Oryctolagus cuniculus: one gene and its partners. The protein of the gene in region 1 interacts with the protein of each later gene in a biochemical or structural test. Links are inferred from orthologs where the notes say so. Each region holds a gene or a part of one and is shown on either strand. Other genes may lie near its edges. The genes, in order: MDC1, ATM, TOPBP1, RNF8, H2AX and CDC27.

Region 1 (4,111 bases):
GGAAAAGAGTGGAAAATGGCCCAAGTGCTTGGGCCCCTGTACCCACGTGGGAGACCTGGAAGATGCTCCTGGCTCCTGGCTTCTGCCTGGCCCAGCTTTGGCTGTTGCAGACATTTGGGGAGTGAACCAACAGATAGAAGACCTTTTCCTCTGTAACTCTGCCTCTCAAATAAACAAATATTTAAAAAGTATATATTTTTGACCATGACACAAAGAAAGATAAATATTACAAGGTCCTCATTACACAAATATATACAAACATGTTTATTTATATATTTTTTGAGAAACAATGCTACGATAATACACTAAAATTCTTATTTCTGTTTTTCCTATTCTCTATATTTTTAAATTTATTGTATTTGAAAGACAGAAGAAACAAAGAAGGAGGGAGCAACAGAGATGGTCACAATGGAGGGGGCTGGACTCAGCTAAAGCCAGAAGCCAGGAACTCCATGCAGGTGGCAGGGGCCCAAGCACTTGGGCCATCTTCTTTTGCTTTCCCAGGCACACTAGCAGGGAGCTGGATTGGTAGCAGAGCAGCCACAGTAATATGGTATGTCAGCATTGTAGGCTGTGGCTAACCCTGTGTACCACAATGTCAGCACCTCTCCTTATACTTTTTAAATGAACATTTACAACCTATTAAATGAACTTCACTATCCACAACTGGGCTGCAGCCCACTGCTCATACACGCCAAGTCTGTGCTGGGCATTATGTGTCACGCACAGTAGACGACAGAGGTAGACATTTAGGAAACTAACGCTGAAAATATGAGATAATTTGCTCCGGATAACACAGCAGGTTAAGTAGACAGGTAAGAAGAAATGTTCTTTTGGTTGTACTGCCCGTACTTTTTACACTTTGCCAGAGCACCTCGGCGTGATCAGACTAAATTACAAAAACTCCTAATAGTCGACATAGAGAGGATTCCGGTTTCTTACACTGACTGCCTCACTTAGTCTCCACAAGAACCCTGTAAAGAGGCATTATTATTATCTTTTTCTTTTAGCTAAAACAACATATATGGGTGAAGGAACTTGCTCAGAGTCACTCAGATCTCTCTTTTTAATATTTTCTGATGGTTTTCCCAGGGTAAAATAAAACCTAAACTCCTCAGCAAACCTCCTCCACCCCACTTAAGCCTTTTGTTGGGCACTGCAAGCCCCCACCCTCACTCCGCTGACCCGCATGCGGTCCAACCAAGCCTCTATAAACACACTCCCCTCGGCCCCACAGCTGATGCCCAAGGCCCTTCCCTCCTGGTTTCCTGATCGACTCCTGCCCACCCTGGGGGCTTTAGTTCAGGCGCAGCGCTGAAGACGCTGGCATCTCACATCCGAGCGCAACTCCGCTTCCAGTGTCAGCTTCCTGCTAGCGGGTACCCTGAGAGGCAGCGGGCAACGGCCGCCCACGTGGGAGGCTTGGGATTGAGTTCCAGGCTCCTGGTGTGGGCCCGGCACAGCCCCGACTTTCAAATCGATAGTAACAGTAATCGCCGTCCTCTGTTCAAATGTCCTCCCCTCATTAAAGTCCTTCCTAGTTTCCGGTGACCCTGGTGGCCGACGGCCTTGCGCCTACCCTGTAACCACCACTCTCACACTCCGCCGCCCCTCCCCCCGGAACTCTCCCTTTCCCCCCGGTGCCCATCACGGTCGTTCTACGGTGGTGACGGCGCGCCTAGGGCTGATCAAAGAACGGGGGCCACATCCGTGAGGCAAACCCTACATGCACCCTGCCCTCGCAGGGCTGCCTCACTGAGCCTGCTAGGGGCAGAATGAAAGGAAGAAATAAGGATGGAGTTCACTTACAAAGAGGGAAACGGGCAGCTAGGGAAAGGAGGACGCCCCCGAGGCGAAAAGGTTCACTTCGGCCTTAAGACGGGCCAGCCCAGCGGGCGCCCGCGTTCCTCGCCTTGGAATCAAAGGACCACCATCTTTGATCCCCGCCCAGTGGGGCTCCGTCGGGATCCAACGCCTCCCGGGGCGAGGAGAGGCGTCAGGTGAGGGTGGGCATTTACAGTCCCACAAACTTTCGAATTACCTCCGCCCAGTCGCACCCAGGGCACGCCCCTCCCGCCCTCCGTCGGAATCAAGATGGTACCCGCGAAGATGTGGGCGAGGCCCTCAGAACTCACCTACTTGGAGTACGCGCGCGCGCGCCACCCGTAACGGTCGCGACCGGGGCGGTGCGAATGCGTGCGCCGGAAGGGACCCGGCTCGCTGATTGGCTGTTGTCGCTGTCCTTCACGACCGTCCTGCACGTTGATTTGATGACGCCCACAGAGCGGCGGCACATTCGAATCCCCTCCCCCAACCGTCCCCCCACAGTTCAAAAGGAAAGCATCTCCCGGGAGACAGTGCTCAGTTGAGGAAGAGTAATCGGAGGCCGCGCGAAATAGCGCATTCTGATTGGCCAGCTCCAAGGGACCGCCCACTGCCGTTTCATGGCCCACCGCCCACTTCCCGCGCAGACTTCCAAACCGCGACCAGAGAGTCTGGCGCCAGTTTCTGGCGGCGGATAGAGCGTCTCTGTACTACAGTCGTCGGCCGCGTCTGGTCCGGCCAGAGCGCCCTTTTCCGGTCCTCCCAGACATGGTGTCCGCTGACTCAGGAGAAACAAATGGGTTGCGGATTGCAGTCGTGGCTCCAGGCTGCAGTTTGGAGGACAGCCCGTAGGCGTGGCACTTGAGGCTCCTCACTGCAGTGGAATTTCATTGCCTTTTGATTTCGCTTGTTTAGTAGAAGTCGTGTCATTTCCTCCTGAGAATACATCCCCGACGGACATTTTGAGGACATTTTCCTAAACGGAAGATCCTAAAATAAAAATCCAAAGCCTAAGAGAGGAAACTGTTTTGCTAACCGTTTTAAAAGGTTGGCCTCACTTTTCAAGGGGCAAGGCAAGGATGGAAAGTAATTTATTTCATTATAACGAGACATGAAGAGACCAGGAAATAATTTGATAGGGATCTACTTTAGGTAGCTCTTTCCCGTTTGTTATCTCAGCTCGGGCCACGAGAACCAAACAGAAGTAGATTTTATCTCTGCAGCTCTGCGAAGTTAAATGACTCGCTGGGTTCCTAATGCAGAGACAAATGGAAACAAGTCCTCCAGTTCTAAATCTGAGCTCTTTACTGCAGAAAAGCTGCTTTCGTTGTGAGCATGCCCGAAAACATAAGATATTTTAATGGAGTACAAGGGTCCTACACTCACTTAACGCTCCTTCATTTGGAAGGTGATTTAGAAATGTGCGCTGATGCTGATGGAATGTGGATTAACAATGACCTTGACTGGGACCACACCTCTCTAGACTGGTGCTTACCGCATTTCTCATCGAACTGCAAGGTCCTGGAGGCCAGGGAACGGATTCTTAATCATTTTTGTATCTCTTGCTCCTGGGTTGGTGGATAGGTAGTACCTACCAAATGAGTGAGTCCTTGGGAAGCAGGTGGACCCCGTGGAAGCCCATTCCATTTTCCACTCTTTCAGTCACCCCTCCCCCTCTGCAATGGCCACCGCCCGCCTAGTCAGTGAAACTGAAACGCACCGATTTCATCAATCTGGACAGGCCGTCTGGAAAGACCGAAATCCTATGAAGCTTCAGACTCCCTAGTTCCCCGTTTTCACAAGAAAATCAAGCTGTTTTCCAAGGCCCACATCCCCATAACGGAGGCTGCAAATCTCAGCACTTCCTCTAAACGCTGCAACTTACTCCTTGAACAATAGCTACATCCCAAAAGACCCTCGCTACAGTTTTGTTTCTCTGTCGCAACTTTCTCAGTCCCAGACTCCCAGGGAGATATCAGGAAGGCAATCCGAGGGGGCAGCGGCTTATGCGGGTTCAGGCTTTGGGTCACCCAAGGGCCAGAGTGCTGCACCGCTCCCTGGTTTTCGCTGAGCTTAGCAGTCCTGTCTTCAGACAGCTGCTACTACAGGGAGCTTTCTGGGCGTGCCCTCCTCACCTCCCAGCCCCCGGCACCCAGGACTCCCCAACCCCTGCATCCCCGAGAACAGCCCCCTTTCTGCACAAAAGAACTCAGGCACAGAGGGAAAGAACCGCAGACACAGTCCTGCTCTATTGCAAACACACGCAGACGCGGCCGGTACCCACCCC
Region 2 (3,935 bases), on another chromosome or scaffold:
TAAATAAACAGAAGATATTCATTCATTGATACAAACAATATTTACTATGTACTACTGTGCTCAAGGTACTATATCAGGGACAGCTAGACAAATCAATGAAACATATAAATCCTGCTTTCATGAAATTCTACCTAGAGGTAGAAAATAAACAAACTGATAAATCAATGCATAATTCCAAAATGTGATGTATACTGTTAAAAACCAAATTCTTAAAACTGAAGGATATTAGGGGCCGGCGCTTTGGGGCAGTAGGTTAAAGCCCTGGCCTGAAGCACTGGCATCCCATATGGGCACAGGTTCTAATCCCAGCTGCTCCTCTTCCGAACCAGCTCTCTGCTATGGCCTGGGATAGCAGTAGAAGATGGCCCAGGTCCTTGGGCCCCTGTACCCAACGTGGGAGACCCAGAAGAGGCTCCTGGCTTTGGATGGGTGCTGCTCCGGCCGTTGTGACCATCTGGGGAGTGAACCAGCAGATAGAAGACCTCTCTCTCTCTCTGTAACTCTTTCAAATTAAAAAAAAAAAAAAAAAAAAAAAAAAAACCTGAAGAATACGAAGAATACTCTGAAATAAAAGGGTTTTGGGAGCAATTACAGAAACTAGCCAGAAAAAAGGAGTGGTCTAGAAGCTCCTGTAACCACCAGCAGAGAGCTGTCTGAAAGGTTTTTTTGCTGGATCTAAAAAACCAAAATATTTTATACTCAAAGTTTGGGAAAAAGAAAGTATAAACTGTTTATAATGAGCCTATATAGAGAAGAGTGGCAGTACAACTAAAAGGCAGGAAGGCAGTCTCTAAGTATTTAGCTATTCCTAATCAGTTGGGATTGCCTTGATGGCCTTGGAGTTAAAATTTCAACATGCATTCAGGACATCGAGCAGTTTTTTTTTGTTTTGATTGGCCAAAACTGGTAGCTGACTAACTTCTCTCTCCTCTCCACTCTCTAGCTGTGTAATTAAATTTAGGACATCTTAGAATACTTGCTTTCATCTTTGCCTCAAAGAAAGCAATACTTAAACAATAATAGAAAGAAACTAATACTTAAACAATAATAGAAAAAACCAGTAGAGAGGACCATTTTAGATAAATTATAAGGAAACATCTCAAAGGAAGGTATAAAAAGAAAGTCAAGATCTGAATAAACCAGTGCCAATCATATAAAGAGCTGAAGAACTGACATTTGAGGGAAGTAATCTTGCACAACGCCAGGGCACTAAGATGGAAAAGAGTATGTTAGGTTGGAGGAGGTGGAGACGAGCCAGTCAGAGTAAAAGTATCACCAGATAAAGACAAACCCCACTTATACATTAATCCAGACTACCTACGATTCATTCATATTCCACAGAAACAACACAAATTTCCTAAATAACAGGCTCTGCACCGGCGCATTCAATATTCGTTGTTATTAACCAGCTTAATCCCTTTGCAGAACGTTGACAATGATGCCCATTCCATCCTCCTAGAAATAACTTTGTCCTTGGCATGCAATTCTTGGCTCTGTAGTCAATGTGTATTAATCCAGCCAGAGCAAGTTAGCTCATGTGTCCAAACCTTAATGATAAAAACAATACTAGCATCTACCCCAAAAACTTGTTGTAAGCATGCAGGTGCATGTTTAGCAAAGCACCTGGAACACAGCCAGTCACCACGTTAACAGTTATCAGAATGAATTCCCTTCCTTTATGATTGCTCCATAAGTCTCTTTCGATATTTCTTCCCTTCCCACTTCAAGCAGCATCCTTATCTCCTTGGTCTCATTCATTCCTGTGACCTAAACATACTGAAAACTCCCCGAACCTATTTCTTTCAATACTAGATCTCACCCCTGATCTTCAAGAACCTTCTACCATGTGCCTTTTACAGGTAAGTTTCTTTCTGTTTGGAAAGTTCCTACTATCCCCTAAGGCAGTTTAGATACTGCAAGGGCTCCCGGCAAACTAAAGTGTTTCTTCCAGGCCGAGTTTCCACAGGACCTGTAACTGCTCTTCTAGAACATTATCCACCTTGCAGTGTAGTTAATTATCTGCACCTGGGAAAACAGCTCTGCAGGGCTCACCACAGGGAAGGATTACCTCACGTAATTTTCCAAGGAAGATGTCAAACAGCTGGCAGAATTCGAACTCGGTACTGTGATTCCAGAACCTACATTCTTAACCACGAGGCTATAGTTAAAATCTCACTAAATGCTCGCTAACTAAAAGTACCAATTATGACACGAGGTTAAAAAAAAAAAAAAAAGGTAACTACTCCAATCGCCTAGTTGAATCTGAACCCTAAGGGCACGGGAGAAGCAGACGCGGAGAAAGGAGAACTCAATTCAGAAGACTTAAAAGGAAGTTCAAGGATAACGCCGCAGGGGGCTCGGAGGGAGTGCGGTGAGTAGCCGCAGCAGCAGCGAGAATAACGAGGGAGAGAGCGCTCACGGGCCGCTCTGAAAGAGCGCGTGGGATTAGGAGTCGGGGGAAAAGGACAGACTGGGTCCAATACGACTCAGTTCTGTAAATACACAAGTCACTGCGTGGCTCCGCACCCCTACCGCTAGACTCTGACGGCCCAGGCAGTGCCGGCGGCGGCTTGCAGCACGGATCCCCCAGCTCCTCTCGCCACCTCCGGTTGCCACAGCTTCCACACTCCGTTATCCCCGCAGCTTTCCCCGCTTCCGGTTCAAACGCCGCGTGAACTCGCAGCGTCCTCTCGGAAGAAAGCGCTAACAGGCCACAGAGCACACTCTGCTCATGCGCACAAGTATCACGCGCTTTCCGTCGCCCAACACTGCGCACCCCCAAAACATTCTGCTCGTCTGCGGAAACGCGCCTGCGCGCTGCCCACCAATGGCTAGCGACTCTGTGTCAGTCGCCCGCCCTCTGGCTGCTGCTCCGGCGCTCGCACCCCGCCCCTTCACGCTCTCCGGCCCCACCCCTCCAACTCTGAGGGCGGAAGTGACGGCAGTTCCAAGGAGAACGGAGGCGGGTTTCATTTCGGCGCCTTTCTTTCTCTGGCGGAAGCCATTGGCTGCCGTGGAGCGAAAGAGGCGGGACAAATTGCCGCGGGTTCAGTGCCGCCACTGGAACCGGGAGATGCGGCGTAGGAGCTGTCGCTGTGTTTCTCTGTACCTGCGTCTCGTCTCTTATTGTGGTTCGTTCTGCGGCGTCGATCATGCTGTTACCCTCGGACGTTGCCCGGCTAGTATTGGGTAAGCGCGGACGCTGGCGGGAGGGTTACTGGGCCAGGCAGAGAAGGAGGGAAGGCGCTTCGGAGCTAAAGCCTTTCTCTTGGTGGGGCAGCCTTGGGGTTTTGCTTCCCCGCTTGCAAGTTCGGACTGGCTGTGATTTTCCGTCGCTCGCTGGCCCTGGTCGCGTACGCCTCGTTGTGTGTGGATGCTCTCCTGCTCGGGCTGTTTGTCTAGGGGAGAGCCGGAGAGAAGCTCGGAGGGCAACACCTGAGGCCCGGATTCGGAGGGAAAGTCAGGCCTGCACACTTCACTGGGACCCCTGAAAGAGAGTTGTCTACGTGACGGGGCGGACTTCGTCGTCTTCAACCTTGCGCGTACTTTCCCTTGTCAGAGCTGAGACCAAAATAGGACAAATAAGGACTTCCCGGCCACCCAGCTTTGTAGAAAGACCTTCGTGACGTCTTTCTCATAACCCTTAGAACTCCGGATTTGGGACGAGTGGGGGTGGTCCTCCTCCTCCATCCTCCCGGCAGGACGTCCTCCCGTGTAGAGGGTTGAAATGCCAATTGCAAATTTGAAAGCAGCTGCAATTCCTATTGCTTTGATGAGCGAACAGTTACGGAAGGGAAGTGCCTTCCAGCTGAACGTTTTCTCGCCCTAGTTAGCTTTTCCTCCATTTGTGCCACTTGTCTGTCAGGGTGTATTGTCTGTGTGGGAGACGGTTTTTTTGTTATTGTTTGTCCCTTCAAAGAATAAAGAAGATTGTA
Region 3 (3,500 bases), on another chromosome or scaffold:
GACATTTTTTAAAAGCTTAAAGGAGCACTCCTACCTGGTGCCTCACTCCTGAAACGCCCACTAACAGCTGTGGCTGAAGCAGGGAGCCAAGAACTCAGTCCAGGGCTCCTACCTGGGGGTCAGGGACCTAATTACCTGAGCCATCATCTGCTCTCTCCCAGGGCCTGCATTAATAGGAGGCTGAGGGAGGTTACGAGCTAGAACTGAGAACTGAACCCAAGTACTCCAATATGGGGCATTGTGTCTTAACTGGAATCTTAACTGCTAGGCTAAATGTCTGACATTTTTGATTTAAGTAAAATACTGGTACCTAATTTTTCAATCAGATGACAATAATCAATACGTTCTTGAGGATTCAGCGATGACATCTGAAATATGTACTGTTTTTTAAATTCTTCATGAGCCTCTTCTCTCATTATAATCTGGAATGAAAGAATTTTATTTTAGAAAAACATTTATATTAATCCAGTTATTTTACAGTGCAATTTTGCTGTCTTCTGAGTTATCATAAATACAAATAATAACATAATGCAAACACAGTTTTCAACATTTGATGAACCCCTGATAGTGAAATCAACACATTTCTAATTCAGTACAAAAATATCCAAAAGCCAGAGCAAGATCAACAAACCTTTTCCCTAGGGGGTGGAGCCACAGGTGGGTTGGCCAGAGGGAAGGCGATGCTGGGGGCCTGAGGTGTAGGGATCAGGTGGCTGTCTCGTACTTGGGTTTCTGGTTCTTCAGAGATAGGTTGCTTCGGAGCTTCAGTCACACATGCTTCTCCAGGATCACAGACAGCTGAGGGCAATAAAAGGTTGAAGCATGTGATTATTCACATACAAGTAGGAATAAAGTCTAGAAGATATTACCTGCCTCAGCCAACATGAAATTAAATACAAACCAAGAAATGTAAAAGTACATGCAAAAGAAGTAGACTATTTCTGGAGTTCATAAATAAATGTAATTAATTAACTTCAAAAGGATAACTATATTAAATGTGGATTTTTAAAAAAATATTTTTTCATCAGTAAATTGAAACTCAAATTGGTAAAATGAAAGCATTTCCACATTTGGAGAGAAATTGGAAGCAGAGATAAATCCTGTATCTGATGTATGGAATCATGCAATGTGAAAAAGATGAAAAAGGGGAAAAAGATTTTCTAAAAATAAAAAAGACTTATTTCTTCTTATTTATTTCAAAGGCATTTACAGAAAGTAGGAGACAGAGATCTTCCATTTGCTGGCTCAAACTCCAAATGGCTACAACAGCCAAAGCCAAGAGACAGGAGCTTATTCATGGTCTCCCATTTGGATGTAAGAGCCCTAGTCCACGGGCCATCTGCTGCTGCTTTCCCAGGCGTGTCAGCAGGGAGCCAGACCAGAAGTGGAGCAGCCAGGACTCAGTGTCAGTGTCCATATGGGACACTGATGTTGCAGGGACGGTCTAACCTGCTACAGTACAACACAGGCCCCCAACCATTCTGTTTTTTGTTTTTTTTTTTTTTAATATTTAATTATGATGTGAAAGGCAGAGTTACAGAGAGGCAGAAAGTGAGAGTGAGAGAGGGGGAGGGAGAGAAAGAGAGGAAGGGAGACAGGGATGGGGAGAGGAAGACTGAGAGGTCTTCCATCCGCTGGTTCACTTCCAAAATGGCCAGAGCTGGGCTAATCCAAAGCCAAGAGCCAGGAGCTTCTTTCAGGTCTTCCACGTGGGTGCAGGGGCCCAAGCACTTGGGCCATCTTCCACTGCTTTCCCAGGCCACAGCAGAGAGCGGGATCAGAAGTGGAGCAGGCAAGCCTCGAACCAGTGCCCATACGGGATTCCAGCACTTCAGGTGGCAGCTTTACCCAATATGCCACAGCACCCGCCCCACCATTCTGTTTTTAAGGCAAAGTTCATGAAAGAAAACACCAGGGGCTGGTGTTGTGGCATGGCCGCCACCTGTGATAACCAGCATTCCATCGGAGTGCTGGTTTGTGTCCTGACTGCTCTACTTTCCATCCAGCTCCTGGCTAACACACCTGGGAAACCAGCAGAAGATGGCCTAAGTACCGGTATCCACATGGGAGACCCAGACGAAGTTCCTGGCTTCAGCCTGGCCCAGCCCAATTGGAGGAGCCATCTTGGGAGTGAAACAGCGGAGATCTTATCTCTGTTTCCAGCCCCAAACACTTTCAAAACAAACACATAAATCTGTGAAAAAAAAAAGAAAAAAAAATGGGGAATTCAAAAAGGAACTTACACAATACAAAGAATAAATGTAGGTAAGTATTGGATGAAATTTAGAAGACTTAAATGAAAGTTAAGAAACAGGAGGAGAGGCTGGAGCTGTGTAGTAGGTAAAGCCGCTGCAGTGCCGGCATCCCGTATGGACACCAGTTCGAGTCCCAGCTGCTCCTCTTTTGATCCAGCTCTCTGCTATAGCCTGGGAAAGCAGTAGAAGATGACCCAAGTCCTTGGGCCCCTGCACCCATGTGGGAGACCCAGAAGAAGCTCCTGGCTCCTGGCTTTGGATCAGTGCAGCTCCGGCCGTTGTGGCCATTTGGGGAAGGAACCAGCGGATGGAAGACACCCCCTTCCCGGCCTTTCTCTCTCTCTGTAACACTTCCAAATAAATAAAATCTTAAAAAAACAGGAGGAAAACCCAAGCATTAACTGCACACATATAGTTAAGGACTAAAATGAAAGGAGAAGTTAAAAACCATGTTGGGAGGCCGGCGCTGCGGCTCACTAGGCTAATCCTCCGCCCTGCAGCGCCAGCACACCGGGTTCTAGTCCCGGTCGGGGCGCCGGATTCTGTCCCGGTTGCTCCTCTTCCAGGCCAGCTCTCTGCTGTGGCCAGGGAGTGCGGTGGAGGATGGCCCAAGCCCTTGGGCCCTGCACCCCATGGGAGACCAGGAGGAAGCACCTGGCTCCTGCCTTCGGATCAGTGCGGTGCGCCATTGGGGGGTGAACCAACGGCAAAGGAAGACCTTTCTCTCTCTGTCTCTCTCACTGTCTACTCTGTCAAAAAAAAAAATAATAATAAATAAATAAATTAATTAAAAAAAAAAACCATGTTGGGAAAAAATGCCTATACCTAAATTTTCAAATTCAAAGATCAACTACATTTTTCAATTTACTGATTAAGTACCAAAGTCAAAAATCATTTTTCTGACTCTTAACTTTAAGCCAAAGTCAGAAATATCTAGTAAGTTTCTCATTTGCAGGTATAATTCAAAGAATCACGACTTATCTGTTTATTTTTAGGAGGTCAAAATATACCATATACAAACAGGTAAATAGATTCTTTCTTGTTACCCTGTTCAGCAATTTCTGAAACACATAAAGGTTCCTGGAAAGGACAGTCCTCCAATGTTTTAACGTCAACCTGAAGCTCAGAGTGCTGTGTGGGACAACAAGGCCACTGCAAATTGCTGGCAAGCCTTGCTCGCTCCTCCCTGGCTGTAGGGTCATCCCAAATGATCTGTTCGTTCTGGGAGGGTTCAGTGTTCATATC
Region 4 (3,500 bases), about 7.5 Mb from region 1:
CCTTGCGACAAATGGGGCATTCTATCTTCCTCTTCATCCATTCTTTGATACAGTAGGAGCAGAAACTATGGGCACAGTTCAAGGTGACAGCCTACAGTGGGAACAGGAACACACATCACAACTTTCACACTTACTTTCTTGGCAGTTCATTCTCAAAGCTAGGACAGGAGCTATTTTCCAAGGCCAACCAAAAAGATAACTACACTTCTATGTGGATTGTAGTATCAGAATCATTCTTGGGCTGGGAAATTTTAGGTTTCATGTTAGACAATCCGTGCTGTACCTTCTCAAAGTTAAGGTTACAGACTCAGGTCCTGGATAGGCTGATTTGTCTGCTTTGTTCCCCTAAGTCAACCACACTGCCAATGTGGGTCAACCATCCTGAGAGTGACAAATGCCACTGGACACAGCAGGATGAGTAAGTGTATGAACATACAAATGTAAAACTAATTCTCTTATTAAAAACAAACTAATTCTATAATTAAAAACAAACAGCTACTGCTACTTGTGAGTTACAACCTCAATTTTAGTATACCAAGTGTAAGTGAATACTGACCACTTAATGTATAGAATGGTAGGAGGTAACATCTTTAAAGAAGCCAAAATGTGAAATACATAATGGGTTCACTGACAGTGCCTGAACTTATAGGCAAACACATCCACAAAGAGAGACCGCAGGACAAAGCCTGTGATTCAGGGCTTCTCTGAGCACTCCCTCTGGTCAGATTTTTTTTTCACTCCCAAGAGTATAAACCATTCTCTCTCTCTTTTTTAAAGATGTGTTTATTTATTTGAAAGGCAGAGGGGCAGAGAGAGGGATAGACAGAGAGAGAGAGAGGTCTTCCATTCACTGTTTATTCCTCAAATGGCCCCAACAGCCAGGTCTGGGCTAGGCCAAAGCCAGGAGCCTGAACTTCATCCTGGTCTCCCACATGGTTTCAGGGGCCCACGTATCTGGGCCATCTCCTGCTGCCTTCTCAGGCTCATTAAGTAGAAGCTGAGCCGGAAGCAGAGCAGTGGGGACCCAAACCAGCACTCCAGTATGGGACACTGGCATTGCAAGCAGCAGCATAACCTGTGGTGCTACCATGTTAGCCCCTTCCTTGTCACTCTTGTTCATACATATATATATATATATATGTTATATATATAATATAGATACACATATGTATGGATGTATGTATCTTCTAAGATACAACTTTTTCTGAAGTTTAAAAATCCTCATTTCTGCTTTTAAGATAAGCAGTGGAAAATAACATCTAAGTTATACATTTTTCAATAGCAAGCTGAACTCACAAAATCAGAAAACTAGAATATATTTTTCATTATGAAGTGTTATGAAGTTCATGAAGTAAACCCTCATAAACAAGATTAAAAATGCTAAAAATGCTTTTTTTTAATTTTTTTTTTTTTTTTTTTTTTTTTTTTTGGACAGGCAGAGTGGACAGTGAGAGAGACAGACAGAGAGAAAGGTCTTTTTTTTCCATTGGTTCACCCTCCAATGGCCGCTGCGGCCGGCACACCGCGCTGATCTGAAGCCAGGAGCCAGGTGCTTTTCCCGGTTTCCCATGTGGGTGCAGGGCCCACGGACTTGGGCCATTCTCCACTGCACTCCCGGGCCACAGCAGAGAGCTGGACTGGAAGAGGAGCAACCAGGACAGAATCCGGTACCCTGACCGGGACTAGAACCCGGGGTGCCAGTGCTGCAGGTGGAGGATTAGCCTATTGAGCCGCAGCACCAGCCAAAATGCTTTGTTAAAATGAAACATCTAAGACTGACTTTAAGCGGTTGCTAGCAGAATAGGTCAGTACTCCGTGACAAAACATAGGTCAAAGCGTTTGTCTCTTTCATGTCTATGCAAATACTCTGAGCTGGCTAACTTATCACCCATTCCAACGTCCCTTTCCTTGTCTTTCTTTACCAGAGACCATAAGCCCTGTCAAAACAACACTGAGTTTCTCCAAAGTAGGGAATCATCTAGCTAAAAACTATGCAGGAAATTATGACCAGAAGTCAAAATGAATCCAGAAAAAAAAAAAGAAAAAACAGGTTGCCCAGGAGAGAGAGGTTTTTTCAGGAGGCTAACAGACTCAGCCTCCTTAAAGACTGCTTGAGAAAAGGATGCAGTGTGTATGTGTGTTTGCCTTTGTTAATCAGTCGGAAAAGCACTGTCGTCTAACAACCTGAGTTTAACACTTGTGGTCTAAGCTGTACTGGTCACAAATGGGAGGACCTCTGAAAAATACAAGAGCTGGTGCTTGTATTTATCTTGTACAGGGGCCAGCACTGTGGTGTAGCAGATAAAGCCACAGCTTGTGATGCCGGCATCCCATATGGGTACCGGTTCAAGACCCGGCTGATCCACTTCCTATTCAGCTCCTTGTTAGTGCAGTTGGGAAAGTGCTTGAGGCCCTGCACTCATGTGGCAGATTCAAAATAAGCTCCTGACTCCTGGCTTTCGCCTGACCCAGCCCCAGCCACTGTAGCCATTTGGGGAGTGAATCAGTGGATGTAAAATCTGTTTAAAAAAAAAAAAAAGAAAGATGACAGGACAATAAATGGGAGCCTCGGGGAGAGGTATTTCATTTCACAAGGAGCCTGAAGGTCCTGAAATATATTCTACGTGGCTTTTGAATTCTGAATTCCCAAAATGACCACACATCAATGGCACTGACCATTCTGCTTTGAAAGGCTGCATGGCAGAAGCAGGTATTTAGTTTAGCAGTTAAGATGCCAGATCTCACATCTGAGTTTGATTCCTGATTCTGGCTCCCGATTCCAGTTTCCTAACACAGACCCTGGTAGGCAGCAGTGAAGGCTCAAGTAATGGAGCTCCTGCCATTATGTGGAGACCTGAACTGCAATTCTGGCTCCTGACTCTAGTCTCCTGCTAACTCATACCCTGAGAGACAGTGGTGATGAAGCAAGTGAATGGGTTCCTGCCATCCATGTTCTGAGGCCTGTCACTGTGGGTATGTGGAGAGAGAACCAATGGATGGGAGCTTTCTTCACCTGTTTCTCAAATAAATTTAATTTTAAAAACTACACTACAAGCCTACTCTTAGCTTTGTGTCCATTCAGAGTAAAGAGAGAGAAGTATTTCCGGGCTGCTTCATTCTGATACTTCGGCTATGTGATCTGGTTTCCCCCATCCTAACAACAAAGAGAGAAAGGCTTTATTGCAGCTAAAAATGTTAACCATACCAAACAAATAGTTATAAATTCCTAGAAGAAAAATCTCTTCAGAGTGTTTCTTTGGCAGAAGCAGCATGCATGGTCCAGGTTCCGTTCCGTGCTGGGAGAGTGAGAAGGGGTGCGCCACTGGTCATAATTACCTCAATGAAGTATTCTGAGCAAATAATACATTGGAGTTCATTTTCTAGCACGTCATTCATCTGACTAAGAACTTCCTCCTTCTGTGCTTGTACCTTCTCCTTCTCTTCCTGTGAAAACACACACAACCCTGTCTGTCATCTGGGAGAACCAAAAGGAGCACAAA
Region 5 (2,757 bases), on another chromosome or scaffold:
CCACTAAGCGGCCGTGGGCACAGGTGCCTGCCTGGGCTGCCGCTCCCCGGGGAGGACGTCGGCCGAGTGCCCTGTTCTCACTGGGAAGTGGTCACTCCAGGAGGAACTGCGGGGTCCCTGACCGCCGGGGACTCGCCTCACCTAGGGGCCTTGCCTCCTGCTGCGTGGGGGCCTCATCTCTAGAGAACACAATGCAAGCCACAGCCTTTGAATGTAACCAGCCCCGGGAATAAACCAGCTGAGGGCGGCTCTCCGGTTGTCTCGTGGTGCGGTCGGTGGAGACGCAAACAGGCACAAACCCCTTTGACCCTTCCCCCCGAATTCTGGAACACCGCGTTCCTGCCGCAGTAGTTCTGCCCGACACGGTCCCCGGATACCGCGGAGAGCCCCCCACACACCTTAGAGCCCCCCGGCTCCTGCCTCACCCGGTCCCGGCACAGCCTTTCCCGTTAGCTGAACCCCCGCCCCGCCCCCTCAGGCAAGTACACGGAAGCGCTTCATTTAAAAAACCAAATCCTTTAATAAACAAAATGAGTCCATCCGAAACTCCCAGTCTCTGGTTCTCCGACGAGTTAGCTGCAAAGTCCCAATCAAGCCACCGGAGGCCGTCCGGACGGGGCTGGTCTGAGCGCGCGGGCCGCGCCGCCGCCGCCCGGCAGTCCTCCGGGCAGTCCCCCGCCCCGCCGGGGCGAACGGAGCCGGGCTGTGCGGCCGCCAACGACGAGAGGGGCAGCGCGTCTCCCGCCGAGGCCTGGAAGCCGCAGACGGGTGTCCCAGTCCTGGGCTGCGGCCGCCGAGGGCCTCACCTTCAGGGCTGCCCGCTCGGCCCCGCAGGCCGTCTTCCGCAGGCGCCGCGGCCGCCCCGCAGCCCCGCAGCGTGGGGCGGCTGAGTCACGAGCCCGGCCCGAGGCGCGTGCAGGTGCGCGGCGCGGGGGAGGGGCAGCGGCCGTGGCTCAGCTCTTTCCGTGAGAGCGGTGGTGGCCCTTAAAAGGGCCTTTGTGGTGGCGCGGGGCGGGCGGCCGCGGCGCGGGCCCCTCAGTACTCCTGCGAGGCCTGCGTGGCCTTCTTGCCGCCCGAAGGCGCCTTCGGCCCCACGGTGGCGCTGGTCTTCTTGGGCAGCAGCACGGCCTGGATGTTGGGCAGGACGCCTCCCTGGGCGATCGTCACGCCGCCCAGCAGCTTGTTGAGCTCCTCGTCGTTGCGGATGGCCAGCTGCAGGTGGCGGGGGATGATGCGCGTCTTCTTGTTGTCGCGCGCCGCGTTGCCCGCCAGCTCCAGGATCTCGGCCGTCAGGTACTCGAGCACGGCCGCCAGGTACACCGGGGCGCCGGCGCCCACGCGCTCGGCGTAGTGGCCCTTCCGCAGCAGCCGGTGCACGCGGCCCACCGGGAACTGCAGGCCGGCGCGCGAAGAGCGCGACTTGGCCTTGGCGCGGGCCTTGCCGCCGGTCTTGCCGCGGCCGGACATGGTGCGCGAGGTAGAACGGCACGAAGCGACGCCCGGACGGAAGCCCCCAACAGCCAACCGCCGCAGTCCAACTGCCGGCGCGCGCGCGGCGGGGCCGCCCTTATATGCCCCTAGGGCACACCCCCTGCGCTCTCCTGATTGGCTCTTTTTTCTAGTACCCGCCTCCGGTTGGCTGAGGTTAACCCTTCGGGGACGCGCCTCGGCTGAGGGAGCGCGCCCGCCGATTGGTCGAATTTGAAAACCTTTTGCCCGGGTAAGAAGGTGAGGAAGCGTGCGGGCCGGCTGACAGGCAGCCACTCCGGACGCGGCCAATCCGCGCAAAGCGCGCGAGATTTAAACGTGGCAGGCGGAGACTAGAACCGGAAGACGAAAGGGGTGGAGCCAGACCCCGTGCTGGCCTGGGGTTTTTAAAGGAAAGGACTAGATTCTGCTACCTCAGCTTTCCCATCTAAGTCTGGGGGCGCCCTACTCCCGCCCCCTCCGAATAGGCCGAAGGAGAGTGCAAAAAGGGACGATCCCACGTCGGAAGACAGGCCACTCCCACCTTAAGGCCCCCTGTGCCGCCGGGAGCTTTCCTGTCAGGTCTCAGTTGTGTTCTCGCTGGGAAGGGTCTGAAAGAGCAGCCACAGGCACAGGCCTCCGCTTGGAGGTCCTCTCCCCGCGCCCTTCCCTGTTTTCCTAAAATGCCCCCATAGGAAATATACGTACAGAAACAAGAAAAAAGACCCTTTATTGTCACTGACGGGAGCGTCGGGTGCCCCGTCTGCCTTTACTAATCAGAATACTTCATTTAGAGTCGAGAGTCAAGCCCCCTTCCAGCCCGTGTCCCTTCCCTAGCCCAGGTTCTGCCCCAAGGCCCAGCACATCCCTTGAGCTGCAGGACCCTGAGAGTCGAGTTGTGGGTAACCGTCCAAAATCCGCTGCAGCCCAGAGATGCGAGGGCGGGAGAGCGGCCAGCTGAGGTGGGGAGCCACAGGTGAAGTCTCAGTGGCCTTCGCCAGAGGGCAAGAAAGGCCCCGGATGTCCATGATCACAGGGGAAGGGGAAGCAGCCTTGGTCCAGACAGGGGTCAGGGCAGGACCCCTGGAGACTCTGAGGTGAGGGCCAACACCCAGGGCACTCAGACATCATAGAAGAGCCGGACAAGCTGGTATCGGATGGAGAAGGTGAGAGCGCTGCCCACGACCTGCAAGAGAAATGGACTGGCGTGAGGTCCGTCGAGAAAGAGCCACAAGGAAGTACAAACGCCATCCCCATGCCCGACCTCACCTGCAGCAGCAGCAGGAGCAA
Region 6 (3,500 bases), on another chromosome or scaffold:
TTTCTGTCTCTCTCTGCCTTTCAAATAATAAAAGTTTAATTTATTAATTTATTTATTTATCTGAAAGGCAGAGTTACAACAGAGAAGGACAGAGAGGTCTTCCATCTGCTGGTTCATTCCTCAAATGGCTGCAACAGCTGGAGCCAGAGCTGGGCAAATCTGAAGCTAGGAACCAGGAGCTTCTTCTGGGTTTCCCATTCAGGTTCAGGGGCCCAAGCACTTGGGTCATCTTCCACTGCTTTCCCAGGCCATCAGCAGAGAGTTGGATCAGAAGTGGAGCAGCCAGGACTTGAACCAGTTCCTATACGGAATGCCAGTGCCACAGGAGGGGGCCCAACCTACTAAGCCACAGAACCAGGCTCACAATTTTAAAAATCCCATTACTCCTCTTAAAAACAAATAATTCTAAGGCAATGGCAGTTATATAAAGCTGGATTCTCTCTGAACCTTAAACAGATTAGACTTTAAAGCAAGTTTCTTTAATCAGTAAGAAAGCTGCATTTTACACAGAAAATACCTTTTTTGTAGGGGCTCCACTGGATGGCACGTCAATTACAGAGGGTGTATTAGTGTAGTTTTGTAAATAGGATCCGTCTCCAGGACTTGGGGTTTCTAATGGCAAAATCCCAAAACTGAGAAGAGGTTGAAATCAAGGTGTCAAAAAGTCATCAAGGCATATATAAAGCAGCAGTATACTTAAATTAGAAGGTCTAAAAGGAAGAGAATGGCAAATCAGTCTTGGGGGCAGTGAGTATCTGAGGGGCAGATTATAAATAAACTGTGAATGTAGACTATTCCACCCACCATAACTAAAATAAAACAAGAAATCAAACAGGGAATGATATTGTATAGCAACAACTAGTCTTAGGAGAATTATTAGAAATAAAGAATGATTTTATTAAAGCTAAGACCCAAATGATCTAAATACTTCACATTCTTGGAATTCCACTATTTATGGAATTTAGACACAATTACAAAGAAATTGTTACAAATTCATGGTTATGTTATCTCAGTAAGTGCCTGGCCTGGGAACTTTATTCCCATAAGCACATGACCTTTTATTTTGATATTCTTGCATATGTGTTCCCTAGGCTGGGTTCTTATGTGAAAACATATATGTACTTTTAATAAATTTGACAAAATAAATCATATTGACAGGTATCAACCAATACTTTCTGCCTGTTTTGGAACACAGCATTTTAACAGTAACTAATGTTGCTCTGATTATGTCATAAGCATGCCAGTACTTCAAGGAGTTCACTGCCTTCCACTGATATAAAGACAAAGACAGTATCTTTTAATGTGTACACTAGCTAATTGAGGCATATCTAAGAGCTTTTAAAATGTCTCCTAATTTAACATTACATTTTATTTTTCCTGGTATCTTTTGTTTTACTTCATTTTCTGAGAACTGGTGTGCCCCCTATTTCAACAGTGATTTAGGAGGCTTAAATTTATTTAATTTATATTACTATGAATCATAAGATCACATAATATGCCACATTTTAAAGTACCGTTTGTTTGACTTACCTCGGGGTTAATGGGCTAAGAGCAGCTGGTCCTCCTAACAAACTTCGACCAGTTTTTGGTTTATTTTGAACCTGTTTAGATAATATAGAAGTTCCTGTTCCAAGAGGGACAGTATCTGGTGAAATCACAGCTGAATCAATGTAAGACACTGAGGAATCTGTATTCAAGGAGTACTTTGAATTTGAAGATTCTAAATTCAGTCTGTTTAATTCCTAAAACAGAAAATTTCTCAATGTCATTTACAATACATTATTTAGTTCAGATTATTCTTTTTTAGCTTTATAATATTTTGAACATTAAAGTATGATACACTTACAATTGTGTCCTGGGGTGTTTCTGTAAGAACTGTCTCGGGCTGTCTGTGAGATAAACTATGATTAGATACTAGTGTTGTGCAAGAGTTGGGCAGACAGCTGCTAAAGTTCTGTAAAGATGTTAATTTAAAGGTCTGGTCAGGATCTGGCTTTTCACCTGTGAAGACCCCCCAAAAAAAGAAAAAAAACAAAAAGTTGCCTGTGAGGAAATGAAAGATAAAGTTTTTTTCAAGTACATATAAATCACTGGAAATAAAGCCTTACCCAGAATTTTTAAATTTTCCAGTCCATTTCTACTAATCAAAGTTATCTCCCATCTGCCTATCCATCAACTTATCACAAAAACTTACTCCTAAAATAAAGCTGCAAATTCAGGAAATAAACTAAACTGCAAGGACTCTAACTTGTACTAAAGCTCAGGAAAATCCAGATTTCAGAGTTTGTTCTAAAAACATAAAGCAACTAGATCTCATTTTTCTCAAGGCAAAGGGTGAGGCTGGAGTTGACACAGTAAATAATCAAGCTGAAGCACCTCCATGTGTACAGATACATGCTTTAAAGCAGTTAACGCATCCTAACATATATACTGAAACTCTCTCTCCCTGGATGGTCCAAGCCTTATTTATCTAATAGTTTCTATTCCAGGTATTAAATTCTTTGGGAATTCTATTAATTTTTTTAACCCAGAAAGTGATTTTGTATTATATGCACAATACTACTCAGTCTATAGGCCACATTTGAGGCAGACAGATGGCTAAAAGTAGAGACCACTGACTTTTTCAGGTAGAGTAATGAAAGGTCATATTATTCCTGAAACATTTTTCTCAATGACTTCTTACTCTCATTTTTACCAGCCTTTAACTTCACAAAAATATTTTTTTTGTGGATAGAGGATTTGTATTATTCTAAAAATTAAGTGGAGGGTGGGAGCAGTTCAGAAGGATGGAGAAGAAATGCAGGACCATGACCTCTGCTGCCTCCACAAACTTACCTATTTCACATAATGATTCAAAGGGAGACCAGAGGAAAGGATTTAAACTAAGGCTCTTTTGGTAACATTCTGATCCTTTGGCAAGCCGATCTGTCTTGCTGTGGAGGGAAACAAACAGATTTAAAAAGCTACAAACCCCAAAACACTTATTATGAAATTTTGGGTATAGAAAATTAGGTAAAGATCATGTAAGTCCAGAGAGCACTCTTCTTTTTCTTCTTTTTTTAAAGATTTATTTATTTGAAAGGCAGAGTTAGAAAGAGCGGGAGAACAAGATCTTCCATCTGTGGGTTCACTCCCCAAATGGCGTTAATGGCCAGAGCTGGGCTGATCTGAAGCCAGAAGCTGCTTCTTCCAGGTCTCCCATGTGGGTGCAGAGCCAAGTACTTAGGGTTCTGTTGCTCTGCAACCTTTTCAGCGCTTGGTATTGCCAGTTTGTTGTTGTTGTTGTTGTTGTTTTTTAACAGGCAGAGTGGACAGTGAGAGAGAGAGACAGAGAGAAAAGGTCTTCCTTTTCCGTTGGTTCACTCCCTAGCGGCCGGTGTGCTGCAGCTGGCGCACCGTGCTGATCCGAAGGCAGGAGCCAGGTGCTTCTCCTGGTCTCCCATGGGGTGCAAGGCTCAAGGACGTGGGCCATCCTCCACTGCACTCCCGGGTCACAGCAG

The links.
Region 2: the proteins of MDC1 (region 1) and ATM form a complex in vitro, tested with the Homo sapiens proteins (2 studies listed by BioGRID, with this or other methods). The link is inferred for Oryctolagus cuniculus from reciprocal best matches to the Homo sapiens genes MDC1 and ATM.
Region 3: the proteins of MDC1 (region 1) and TOPBP1 are reported together in a solved structure, tested with the Homo sapiens proteins (3 studies listed by BioGRID, with this or other methods). The link is inferred for Oryctolagus cuniculus from reciprocal best matches to the Homo sapiens genes MDC1 and TOPBP1.
Region 4: the proteins of MDC1 (region 1) and RNF8 form a complex in vitro, tested with the Homo sapiens proteins (2 studies listed by BioGRID and IntAct, with this or other methods). The link is inferred for Oryctolagus cuniculus from reciprocal best matches to the Homo sapiens genes MDC1 and RNF8.
Region 5: the proteins of MDC1 (region 1) and H2AX form a complex in vitro, tested with the Homo sapiens proteins (5 studies listed by BioGRID and IntAct, with this or other methods). The link is inferred for Oryctolagus cuniculus from reciprocal best matches to the Homo sapiens genes MDC1 and H2AX.
Region 6: the proteins of MDC1 (region 1) and CDC27 form a complex in vitro, tested with the Homo sapiens proteins (2 studies listed by BioGRID). The link is inferred for Oryctolagus cuniculus from reciprocal best matches to the Homo sapiens genes MDC1 and CDC27.

The regions. Positions count from the first base shown.
Region 1 is NC_091436.1:139,721,555-139,725,665, reverse strand, and holds the start of MDC1 (mediator of DNA damage checkpoint protein 1), read right to left. Parts: upstream 2,801-4,111; 5' UTR 2,136-2,800; exon of another isoform or gene 1,810-2,135; intron 1,447-1,809; exon of another isoform or gene 1,288-1,446; intron 1-1,287. UniProt on the Homo sapiens protein: Histone reader protein required for checkpoint-mediated cell cycle arrest in response to DNA damage within both the S phase and G2/M phases of the cell cycle.
Region 2 is NC_091432.1:99,975,940-99,979,874, reverse strand, and holds the start of ATM (serine-protein kinase ATM), read right to left. Parts: upstream 2,801-3,935; 5' UTR 2,069-2,800; intron 1-2,068. Other genes in the region: protein NPAT, read left to right, coding at 3,153-3,189.
Region 3 is NC_091435.1:175,279,051-175,282,550, forward strand, and holds part of TOPBP1 (DNA topoisomerase 2-binding protein 1), read right to left. Parts: coding exon 3,302-3,500; intron 799-3,301; coding exon 632-798; intron 423-631; coding exon 311-422; intron 1-310. UniProt on the Homo sapiens protein: Scaffold protein that acts as a key protein-protein adapter in DNA replication and DNA repair. Composed of multiple BRCT domains, which specifically recognize and bind phosphorylated proteins, bringing proteins together into functional combinations.
Region 4 is NC_091436.1:132,255,198-132,258,697, forward strand, and holds part of RNF8 (E3 ubiquitin-protein ligase RNF8), read right to left. Parts: intron 3,445-3,500; coding exon 3,337-3,444; intron 92-3,336; coding exon 1-91. UniProt on the Homo sapiens protein: E3 ubiquitin-protein ligase that plays a key role in DNA damage signaling via 2 distinct roles: by mediating the 'Lys-63'-linked ubiquitination of histones H2A and H2AX and promoting the recruitment of DNA repair proteins at double-strand breaks (DSBs) sites, and by catalyzing 'Lys-48'-linked ubiquitination to remove target proteins from DNA damage sites.
Region 5 is NC_091432.1:111,204,324-111,207,080, reverse strand, and holds H2AX (histone H2AX), read right to left. Parts: upstream 1,556-2,757; 5' UTR 1,468-1,555; coding exon 1,036-1,467; 3' UTR 501-1,035; downstream 1-500. Other genes in the region: HMBS (porphobilinogen deaminase), read left to right, coding at 1-7; DPAGT1 (UDP-N-acetylglucosamine--dolichyl-phosphate N-acetylglucosaminephosphotransferase), read right to left, coding at 2,588-2,653, 2,737-2,757. UniProt on the Homo sapiens protein: Variant histone H2A which replaces conventional H2A in a subset of nucleosomes. Nucleosomes wrap and compact DNA into chromatin, limiting DNA accessibility to the cellular machineries which require DNA as a template.
Region 6 is NC_091448.1:16,968,662-16,972,161, reverse strand, and holds part of CDC27 (cell division cycle protein 27 homolog), read right to left. Parts: intron 2,934-3,500; coding exon 2,836-2,933; intron 2,002-2,835; coding exon 1,847-2,001; intron 1,743-1,846; coding exon 1,531-1,742; intron 633-1,530; coding exon 518-632; intron 1-517. UniProt on the Homo sapiens protein: Component of the anaphase promoting complex/cyclosome (APC/C), a cell cycle-regulated E3 ubiquitin ligase that controls progression through mitosis and the G1 phase of the cell cycle.